3 linked regions of the Canis lupus familiaris genome follow. The protein of the gene in region 1 interacts with the protein of each later gene in a pairwise test. Links are inferred from orthologs where the notes say so. Each region holds a gene or a part of one and is shown in the gene's direction. Other genes may lie near its edges. The genes, in order: MYOZ1, TRIM63 and FLNC.

Region 1 (2,813 bases):
CTGGAACAGCAGGGGTTGGCGAGACAGGAACAGGCAAGTATCCTTACCCAAGAGTAATGTGTCTGGTCCCTAGAGCAGAGATATTCCCAGGAATGAGGCCTGGGCTGGGTTTAGGGAACAAGGGAGGCCTGTGGAGATACCTAGATGGATTCTCTGGGCCCAGGAGAAAACTGAGTTGTGTCTGTTTCACCCGGAAGCCTTATCTTTCAGTCGCCTTTCTGGCTTTTCAGTTTCAGTCACAGATCCGACCCCAGGCTGTCATTTTCCCACAAAACTAGCACAGTTACCAGGATGTTATATCTTTGGTCTCAGGCCTCAACAACTTCCCTAGTGGAGGACTGTAAGACTAACTTCCACTGGCTACTAACCATTATTATTGACTTAATTTTCTCTCCTGTGGCTGCCAGGAGACCAGACGGGTGGAGAAGGAAAACATATCACTGTGTTCAAGACCTATATTTCCCCATGGGAGAGAGCCATGGGGGTGGACTCTCAGCAGAAAGTGGAGCTTGGCATCGACTTACTGGCCTATGGGGCCAAACCTGAACTTCCCCAATATAAGTCCTTTAACAGGTAGGGGTTATGAAGGAGGAACCAGATGCATTCCAGTATGTGGCATAGTGTCCTCAGCTGGGATGGAGACTTTAGTTCTTATATTCCAGAAGGAAGCTGAGGAGGGAGGGAAGGAACATGGGAGCCCTAACTGGAGGTCTTTGCTTTTTTCACTTGAGTCCAGAGGAACAGTGCAGTCTGATGAAGGAAATGTTTGCTGGGAGGCAAGATTTTAGTTCACTCTGCCACTTACTAGTTGTTCTGAGCAAGGGAAAGTCACCCTACTTCTGAGCCTTGGTTGCCTTGCTGTAAAATGGGAATAATATAGGGGCACCTGGGTGGTTCAGTAGGTTAAAGGTCTGCCCTCTGCTCAGGTCATGGTCCCGGGGTCCTGGGATAGAGCTCCATGTTGGGTTCCCTGTGCTAGTGGGGAGTCTGCTTTTCCCTCTCCCTCTGCACTTCCCCACTGTTTGTGCTTTCACTCTGTCTCTCTCAAGTGAATAAATAAGAAATCTTAAAAAAGAGCGGGGGGGAATAGTGTATTAGATATTTAAAGTACACTGGAGGTTCCTTTCTTTCAAGGTTAGGATTCCGTTATTGTTCTTGTAGGATTCCATTACTGTTCAATTTTTTTATACTCTAGTAAAGCTTAAGTATCTATTCTTTTGGAATTTGGCTTCTCTAGACTGTGGATAGGAGATCTATGTGAAAGCAGAATAAGGAAAAAAAAAAAAAGCAGAATAAGGAAACACTAGAGAAGCATTTTGCATTTGATCCTAAGAATCCTGAATTTTCCAGGCAATGCTAATTCTTCTCACTAGGCCATGGCTATCCACTGGAAGTGGGGTAGGAGTTGTGTGTGTGTGGGGGGGGGGAGGGTATCTTTACATTGTAATTTAAGGTGGTCTCAGACGACCCTTGGTTCTATAGTGTCTGAGTCACAACCCTCCATGAAGCTCTCTATCCAGTACCCACTACACCTCTTTTCTCATTATTAGCTCTGGGGAAACAAGCAAACCAGGAATGGAGTACTAAAGGAGAAGAAGAATAAGGAGTGCAGAAGCAATCTTTTTTTCTTTTTTTTTTAAGATTTTATTTATCCGTTAGAGAGAGAGAGAGAGAGAGAGAGAGCATGAGCTGGGGGAGGGGTAGAGGGAGAGGCATAGGGAGAAGCAGACTCCCCACTTAGTATAGAGCCAAACACTGAGTTCAATCCCAGGACCCTGAGATCATGACCTGAGCCGGAGTCAGCCACATAGCGGACTGAGCCACCCAGGCACTGGGCAGAAGCAATCTTAAACTAAAATTCACAAACTTCCCCATTCTCAAAACAGGGTAACATCTTACTGATAAAGCTGTTCCTTTTATCCTGGTTTTTAATTAAATAATGTGTCCCCTTTTCAGGACAGCAATGCCTTATGGTGGATATGAGAAGGCCTCCAAACGCATGACCTTCCAGATGCCCAAGTTTGACCTGGGGCCCCTACTGAGTGAACCCTTGGTCCTCTACAACCAGAGCCTCTCCAACAGGCCTTCTTTCAATCGAACCCCTATTCCTTGGCTGAGCTCTGGGGAACCAGTAGATTACAATGTGGATATTGGCATCCCCTTGGATGGAGAAACAGAGGAGCTGTGAGGTGTTTCCTCCTCTACTTTGTATCAATTTTCTCTTCTCATGTTCAATTTGAAAGGGAATGCTAAGCAGGATGTCCCTACTGTAAATCCAGTATCCTGGTGGGAATGGAGGGAAAAAGGAGGGAAATATCTATCTTTCCAGTCTTCACTCCAAGTCCCCACTCCAAGCATCCTTCCTCACCAGCTCAGAGCTCCCCTTCTACTTGCTCTGTATGGAACCTGTTCTTTTATGGAATTTGCTCTGCCACCGGTAACAGTCAATAAACTTCAAGGAAATGAACTCATTCTTCCTCTGATATTTAAGGGCAGATGAAAATTGAAGCTAACAATGCACAGAGACTAATTAAAGTCAAGTACTAAGCATTCATTATTCAGACTTCAAGACCAAACCTGAGCTCTGGTTGCTTATACACCCACACCCACATCCACACCCACGAGACCATATTCATAGGTATATACAAAGACATAATTATTCAAGAGTAAAGACAATCGTGCACAAACACATGTGTTGGCCCATATGTGGGCAAAGCTAAGAAGCTATTGTGTGCTGTGGTTAGGAAGTAGATGTTGGTGACGCTAGTGTTAGCTCTCTTTGTGTAGCTGACTAGAGATTGGGATGGTCGGGA
Region 2 (4,236 bases), on another chromosome or scaffold:
GTGTCTTAGGCTCATCCTTGAGGCCTGCGGTCACTGCTCCCCCTCTTGCCCCAACACCAATATTGGCTAACCCCTACATCCTTTTGCATGAGATTCTACCTTAAAAATAGCCATCAGAACTACTCTAGTGACTTCTACGTGCCAATACAGAAGGTGTCCAGAAGAACATAGAGAAAAATACAAATTTGTGCAGAGAGTAGAGGGGAACATCTAGATAATCTCTAGATGTCCAGGTAGGGCTTCATGGTACCAAAATGATAGCTATTTCGTTTTCCCCCTCGATAGGCTGTGAGCTTCTTGGGACAGGGAAAAGGATTACTCATTTATCTGTCACCCTGGTGCCTGAAGTATAGTTAGTACTCAGAGAAATGTCTGATGAATGAAAGATTCCTGGCTTTGCCACTGACTTTCTCCTCCTCCTCCTCCTCCTCCTCCTCCTCCTCCTCCTCCTCCTCCTCCTTCTTCTTCTTCTTCTTCTTCTTCTTCTTAAGATTTTATTTATTTATCCATGACAGACAGGGTGGCGGGGGGAGAGGCAGAGGGAGAAGCAGGCTCCATGCAGGGAGCCCGACGTGGGACTCCATCCCAGGTCTCCAGGATCACACTCTGGGCTGAAGGCAGCGCTAAACCACTGGGCCATCAGGGCTGCCCTCTTCTTTTTTTAAAAGTATGGTCCTGCTTTTTTTTTTTTTTTTTTTTTTTTTTAAGATCTTATTTATTTATTAGAGAGAGAGATAGCATGAATGGGGTGAGGGCAGAGGGAGAAGCAGACTCCCTGCCAAGCAGGGAGCCTGACACAGGGCTCAATTCCAGGACCCAGAGATCACGACTCAAGCCCAAGGCAGACACCCAACCGACTGAGCCACCTAGGAGTCCCTGCCACTGACTTTCTAAGTGACTTTGACTAAGATCCTTTCCTTCTCTGGACCTCAGTGTCAAAATCTATAAAACTGTGGAGGGACAGGCTAGCTGGGGTAGGGTTTCAAAGTTTCCAGCAATATGCTATGCTCAGAGATGGGCTCAGAGAGAGGGGCTGCCCTGACCCCTTTTCTTGGGAGCCACTCAGTACTCTAGAGGAAGGGATTTAGGACAGTGAGGGATCACTGGCTATGAACTCTGCAAATCCCAGTGGCCCACTCCTTGGGTCCACTTCCTGGCTTACCAGCCTGGTATAGGAGACTAGGTTCTGGAGGAAACTCTGGTACCCTCTCCTCCCCCCACGCTGCCCACGAACAGGCTGTTCTTGTTTACGACCCTCCTCCCAGGAGAACAGCGATTGCTCATCCCTACATGTGATTTGAGAGGGCCGGTCTTTCAGGCCTGGAGGAAACTCAAACCCAGCCAGCCACTTGGCATCGGAATGTTCAGCTGGTCCCCTTCTGGGGCTCATGTGACCGAGACCCAGCTATAAATATCAGAGGGGCCTCAGACCAAGACAGAATTCGGGCACCAGGAGAACAAGGCAAGGAGGCTCTGTGTGGGTATTTTGTGACGAAGGCAAGACCCCAGGTCTACGTAAAGTGAGGCAGGTAAAGGAGGCAGCCAGGTGAACCTCCACACGTCCTGACAATATGGATTATAAATCAAGCCTAATCCAGGATGGGAACCCCATGGAGAACCTGGAGAAGCAGCTCATCTGTCCTATCTGCCTGGAGATGTTTACCAAGCCGGTGGTCATCTTGCCTTGTCAGCACAACCTCTGCCGGAAGTGTGCCAATGACATTTTCCAGGTCAGTGCTGGGCATGGCCTTGTCCTGGGCTCCAGGCGGCTGCTCAGTATTCCTGTGGTGAAAGCCATTGTCTCTTAGTCTAGGACTTCTAAACTGCTGGCTTTCTCCCGAGCAGAGCAAAGCCCCTGCAGAGGCCTCTGGGCTGAAGGGGGCTCGGAGGTGACCCTGGCCACCCCATTCCTTCTCCATGACGTGTGCTTCCCGTCTCCACCCTGCCCGCAGCTCCCCCACTGCTGCCCGGAGCCCACAGTTGACTCTCCAAACAGGAGTCAAATGCCTCAAGCGATAAGTGGGAGAGGCGGGTGGAGAGGAGAGAGAAACCAGACCCCTGGGGCTGGAGCCAGCTCCCTGGTGGCAGCGGGCCCAGAGCTTTGGGAGGAGGAGGGTGGCCAGGAGGCACTGGGCAGTAGAGGCATCTTCCCCTTCGAGGCCGAGACTGGTTCCCTATAATGTGGGGCTGGAGGGGATCCATCTCAACAAAGGAATAGGAGAAGTGCCCTGGCTGGGAGGCAGGACTCAAGGTTCCAGAAGCACTTTGTACTAATGTTCTCTCCAAATTTTATCTTTGAATTAGCAGCCCTACGAGCAGGCTCTAACGATAATGTCCATTGCGTGAATGAGTAAACAGAGGCTTGGAGGGAGAAAGTGGCTTGCCCAAGGTCATTCAGAGGATAACTGTGACTTGAACCTAGGTCTGCTGCCTCCCAAACTTGCTGACCGCTTAGTTGCTTTCTCAGGTGCTCCCCGTGTACGTGGGCTGGCTCTCATCTCAGGATGGGGAGTTCCATGTCAAATGGCTTGACGAGAATGGTTGGGGTGAGCAAGAAAGACAGAGACTGTCCCAGGCCTCATCTCTGCCCTTCCATCCGCAGGCCGCGAACCCCTTCTGGACCAACCGGGTTGGCTCCGTGTCCATGTCTGGAGGCCGTTTCCGCTGCCCTTCCTGCCGCCACGAGGTGATCATGGATCGTCACGGAGTGTACGGCCTGCAACGGAATCTGCTGGTGGAGAACATCATTGATATCTACAAGCAGGAGTGCTCCAGGTCAGTCCTCCCGGCTCCTGGGAGCCATCCTTCCTCCCCACCTGGTCTGTGCCCAGCTCTCCCAGGCTCCTCCCCATGTGCCCAGGATCAGTGCCCTGGCTGGAGAGCTACACTAGCCAGTCCAGAGAGCCATCTCCCTCTTCTTCAGGCACAACAGAGGCTTATCTCTATCCCCCGACACTGGCTCTTGGGGTCGGTCCCTCAGTGAATGAGAAGAGCCCAGACATTAGGCTGCTCTCCTAGGACAGGCTGAGACAGGAACCAGGGGAGGGACAAACTGTGACATGGAGAGGGAGACACTGGGGCCAGCAAAGTGGCCGGGCAAGCAGAGAAAAGTGCCCAGAGAGAACACAGCCGGTCTCTCTATAGTGGAGGCAATGGCTGTCATCGTGGGTACCGGGGACGCTTCCTCCCGCTGCCCCACAACAATCCTGGGAATTGGGCATGACTTTCATCCTCCCCATTTCATGGATGAGGAAGCTGAGGCTCGAAGAGGTGAAGTCAGTTGCCCAAGTGTTCCCAGCTGAGAAGAGAAATAGCCGAGGACAGCCCTGCCGATCTGGCCCCAAGTCTCCCTGTTTGTAAAACAGCAGCTCTGTCTTGGGCAGAATTTGTGAGAGTGGAGTTTGTGCAGTGTGTGTGTCCAGCTGGAGAGAGATATGGCCACCAGGGAGCTCTTTACAAATTTGACACCTGACAAGACTCCCAGGCCACTGCCCTCAGGCCCTTGGGTCCCAAACCATCATCCAGTGTTGCCCGCCTGGCAGTGTCCTGCCCCAGGATAAGTGACAGACCAATCTTAGTGTGAAAAAGCCCTGACCAGGGGAACCGTCGGCTAGTCTGACTCTGTTACTAATGTATTGTGGGAACTTGGTTGAATCTTTGGGCCTTCATTTTATCCATCAGCAGAGGAGGATGGTAAGGTTTGTTAGTGTGACTATCAAATAGGGTTTTGATGGGAAATGTTAAAAGTATCAGATATGTATGGACACCTCCTGTGTCTAGGCACCTCGTCTTAAGCATTTTCCATGCGTGACCTTTATTTAATTCTCACAGTAATCCATACTACTTTCTTACCCTCATTTTCCAATGAGGAAATGGAGGCTCCTAGAAGGTCAGAGGTGTGCCCGAGGCTGCTCAGCAAGCCGTGATGCTGAGAGGGAGCCTAACTGACTCTATGGTGAATATTCCTAACTGCTATTGCCTCTATGTTCCTGGAGTAAAACTCCATAAAAGTACAGAAATATTGCTGACCATTCTCCAATAAGAAAATTAATATTGCACCCAAATATTAGCCCCTCACCTCGAGTATCGACCTCTGAAGAGCAGGTTTATGCTTGAACCCTTCGGGGGCCTTTCTACACAGTCAAATGGCTGTGAGAGATGCCCTTTATTGAGGGTCTGCTCTGTGCTAGGCTCTATACATTCATTGCTGATAGTTGCCCTGATCCCAGTAGCTCT
Region 3 (3,648 bases), on another chromosome or scaffold:
GTAAGCACCGGGCACACTCTATGCCTTCCTGTCTGGGACCCTCACAGGGTGGGAGGAGGGAGGTTGGGCTGCCTGGAACTGTGAGGGAAGAGAGGAGGGCTACCCCCAGCAGAGGTACTTCCTGGCGTTGACACCAGATCCCTCTTTGCCTAGCCCCTTTGAGGTACAGGTGAGCCCAGAGGCAGGAACACAGAAGGTACGGGCCTGGGGTCCTGGCCTGAAAACTGGCCAGGTGGGCAAGTCAGCCGACTTTGTGGTGGAGGCCATTGGCACGGAGGTGGGGACACTGGGTAAGTGGCTGGGTGGTAGCAGCTAGGAATGCTGGGGAGTGGTGTGATGGAGGGACCTGGGAAGTGACTGGGGACGGGGTGGGAATGCTGGGTAGTATCAGGAGTGGGACATAGGGGTCCTGCCTGAGTGTCCGAGCTGCCTCTTGTGCCCTCTGATCTTCTGTACCTTGCACACAGGCTTCTCCATTGAGGGGCCCTCGCAGGCCAAGATTGAGTGTGATGACAAGGGGGATGGCTCCTGCGATGTGAGGTACTGGCCCACAGAGCCCGGAGAGTATGCTGTGCATGTCATCTGTGATGATGAGGACATCCGAGACTCCCCCTTCATTGCCCACATCCAGCCAGCCGCACCCGACTGCTTTCCAGACAAGGTGGGTCCCAGCGCCTGCACAAGGGCCCAGAACTGGGGGAGAGGGCCCTCCTCCAGGCCCTGACCTAGCTCTCTGCTCCTCCCGCTACACAGGTGAAGGCCTTTGGGCCCGGCCTGGAGCCCACAGGCTGCATCGTGGACAAGCCTGCGGAGTTCACCATTGATGCTCGTGCCGCTGGCAAGGGAGACCTGAATCTGTATGCCCAGGTGGGGTACTTACTGCCCAGTCCTGCTGCCCCCATCACCTGGGGCAGGAGCCCTGGGAGGTGGGGGCAGGTGAGAGGCAGAGGAAATTGTAGCATGGCAGGACTGACTCTTATGGATCCAGGAGAACTATGGGAAACAAAATTTTGTGTTTTCTGATGAATTCATAAGAGCATATTTTACCAAAAGTGTATTTTGTTGTACTAATAATTTTGAATTGAAAGATTATTTGATTATCTTTCAAGCCAGTGATAGACTTGGCTTCCCAAATCAGTTTCTCAAACTGGTAGCCACTAACCTCTAGAAGTTAATGAATGTATTCTTGGGTCCAAGAGGATAATTTTTCTTTAAAATGTTCACTATTCAATTTTAGAAACAGTGACTTAGCGCAACCTCTCCCCCACTAACACATTTCAGATGCTTAACTGGGAGGCCAGGCCACACAGATGGCCTAGAGCCAGATCTCTAGGCTCCCAGGGCGGGCCCTGACCACCAGAGCACGTGGGGCGGAGCTCCCTTGGCCTGAGGTCAGAGGCGGTGGGTGAGGAGGGCATGGAGGCCAGCAGAGGGCGCCAGTGCTCTGAGGAGGCCTGAGCACTCTAAGATTCGCTTGGTGATGCCCACAGGACGCTGATGGCTGCCCTGTCAACATCATGGTCATTCCCAACGGCGATGGCACCTTCCGCTGCTCCTATGTGCCCACCAAGCCCATTAAACACACCATCATCATTTCCTGGGGAGGTGTCAACGTGCCCAAGAGCCCCTTCCGGGTATGTCCTCCTGTCTTGCTTCCTGCCGCTGGGGTCCCAGGGGAGGGTGGAACCCTGCACAGGAGATGTTGGTTGTCCCTGGGCCCTTGTCACCTGCTCCCCACCTCACTGTCCACATGGAGGCTAAGATCGGTACCACTAAGGCTGGCCTGGTAGCGCTGAGGAAAGCGGCCTTGTGGGAGGAGCACTGTGCTGAGCATTGACCCCTTTCCCTGCAGGTAAATGTGGGAGAAGGCAGCCACCCTGAGCGGGTGAAGGTGTATGGCCCAGGCGTGGAGAAGACAGGCCTCAAGGCCAACGAGCCTACCTACTTCACCGTGGACTGCAGTGAGGCTGGGCAAGGTGCGCCCAGCTGTGGCTGGGGTGGGGGCAGGGGCCTGGGGTGGGGCTCCTGCTCTGGCTCCACCCTGTTTCTGGGCAGAGTTCTAGTTAAGTGGGTGAGGCTGTTGAGACCCCACTCACGGTTTTGTGCCTGCCTCCCTTCAGGTGATGTGAGTATCGGTATCAAGTGCGCCCCTGGCGTAGTGGGCCCTGCAGAAGCTGACATCGACTTTGACATCATCAAGAATGACAATGACACCTTCACAGTCAAGTATACACCCCCGGGAGCGGGCCGCTACACCATCATGGTGCTGTTTGCCAACCAGGTACCCCACCCTTGGCCTGTGGCAGTCTGGTAGCCTATACCCTCCATGTCTAAGCCAGCAGCTTGATATGATGTCATTTGGGGACAGTTTTGCAGCCATCGATCGAGCACTTCTGTGTGCAGGCAGCATGCTTCAGAAAAAACAAAGGGGACTCTTTCAGAAGCTGGCTTTGCCTATCCTCACCAGGTCTTTTTCCCATCCAGGAGATCCCTGCCAGTCCCTTCCATATTAAGGTGGACCCATCCCATGATGCCAGCAAGGTCAAGGCTGAGGGCCCTGGGCTGAACAGAACAGGTAGGTGTCTGGGCAGGTGCGGGGCTGGGCTGGAGGTGGGGCTGGGTGTCCCCCAGGCCCTCACCTGCCATCTTGATTGGGCTCCCCAGGTGTGGAAGTTGGGAAGCCCACTCACTTCACGGTACTGACCAAGGGAGCCGGCAAGGCCAAGTTGGATGTGCACTTTGCTGGGGCTGCCAAGGGCGAAGCTGTGCGGGACTTTGAAATCATTGACAACCATGACTACTCCTACACTGTCAAGTACACAGCTGTCCAGCAGGTGTGTCCCCCCACCCCACCTCACCATTCCTGGCTGATAGGGTCCTGAATTTCCATTCTCCAGTCTCCTAGGGCCACTTCTGAGTGTTGGCCCCTTTCCTGCCACCCCTCCTCTCTGGCTGTGCACCTCTGGGCCTCAAGTCCATGTTGGCCAAGGGTGTGTTGCCAGGCTATGTCTAACCCACCTAGTTCTGACCTCTTCTCATACCCAACAGGGCAACATGGCTGTGACAGTGACCTATGGTGGGGACCCTGTCCCCAAGAGCCCCTTTGTAGTGAATGTGGCACCCCCATTGGACCTCAGCAAAGTCAAAGTTCAAGGCTTGAACAGCAGTAAGTGGGACAGGAGCTGCCTTGGGAAGTGACCGGTATTGTGGGATGGGCTGGAGTCTCTGTTCATTGTGTCCCTTGCCCTCTCCGCAGAGGTGGCTGTGGGGCAAGAACAGGCGTTCTCTGTGAACACACGTGGGGCTGGCGGTCAGGGCCAGCTGGATGTGCGGATGACCTCACCCTCTCGCCGACCCATACCTTGCAAGGTGGAGCCTGGGGGTGGAGCTGAAACCCAGGCTGTGCGCTACATGCCCCCTGAGGAGGGGCCCTACAAGGTGGACATCACCTACGATGGTCACCCAGTGCCTGGCAGCCCCTTTGCTGTGGAAGGTGTCCTGCCCCCTGACCCCTCCAAGGTGAAGAGATGGCAGCTGGAGGGAGCTGGGGTATGGGGGTTTACAGGGAAGATGGAGGAATCACAGGGGCAGAGGCTAGAAGACCCATGCACCTGGAGTGAGTGCAGCCAAGGACCCAATGCCAAGTGA

What was found.
Region 2: the proteins of MYOZ1 (region 1) and TRIM63 interact in a two-hybrid assay, tested with the Homo sapiens proteins (2 studies listed by BioGRID and IntAct). The link is inferred for Canis lupus familiaris from reciprocal best matches to the Homo sapiens genes MYOZ1 and TRIM63.
Region 3: the proteins of MYOZ1 (region 1) and FLNC interact in a two-hybrid assay, tested with the Homo sapiens proteins (2 studies listed by BioGRID and IntAct). The link is inferred for Canis lupus familiaris from reciprocal best matches to the Homo sapiens genes MYOZ1 and FLNC.

What each region holds. Positions count from the first base shown.
Region 1 is NC_049225.1:24,891,300-24,894,112, reverse strand, and holds the end of MYOZ1 (myozenin-1), read left to right. Parts: coding exon 1-33; intron 34-407; coding exon 408-573; intron 574-1,956; coding exon 1,957-2,188; downstream 2,189-2,813. UniProt on the Homo sapiens protein: Myozenins may serve as intracellular binding proteins involved in linking Z-disk proteins such as alpha-actinin, gamma-filamin, TCAP/telethonin, LDB3/ZASP and localizing calcineurin signaling to the sarcomere.
Region 2 is NC_049223.1:73,293,061-73,297,296, forward strand, and holds the start of TRIM63 (E3 ubiquitin-protein ligase TRIM63), read left to right. Parts: upstream 1-1,314; 5' UTR 1,315-1,571; coding exon 1,572-1,730; intron 1,731-2,602; coding exon 2,603-2,775; intron 2,776-4,236. UniProt on the Homo sapiens protein: E3 ubiquitin ligase. Mediates the ubiquitination and subsequent proteasomal degradation of CKM, GMEB1 and HIBADH.
Region 3 is NC_049235.1:7,664,381-7,668,028, reverse strand, and holds part of FLNC (filamin-C), read left to right. Parts: intron 1-153; coding exon 154-290; intron 291-467; coding exon 468-661; intron 662-753; coding exon 754-867; intron 868-1,490; coding exon 1,491-1,634; intron 1,635-1,852; coding exon 1,853-1,976; intron 1,977-2,120; coding exon 2,121-2,281; intron 2,282-2,484; coding exon 2,485-2,575; intron 2,576-2,664; coding exon 2,665-2,834; intron 2,835-3,048; coding exon 3,049-3,166; intron 3,167-3,256; coding exon 3,257-3,519; intron 3,520-3,648.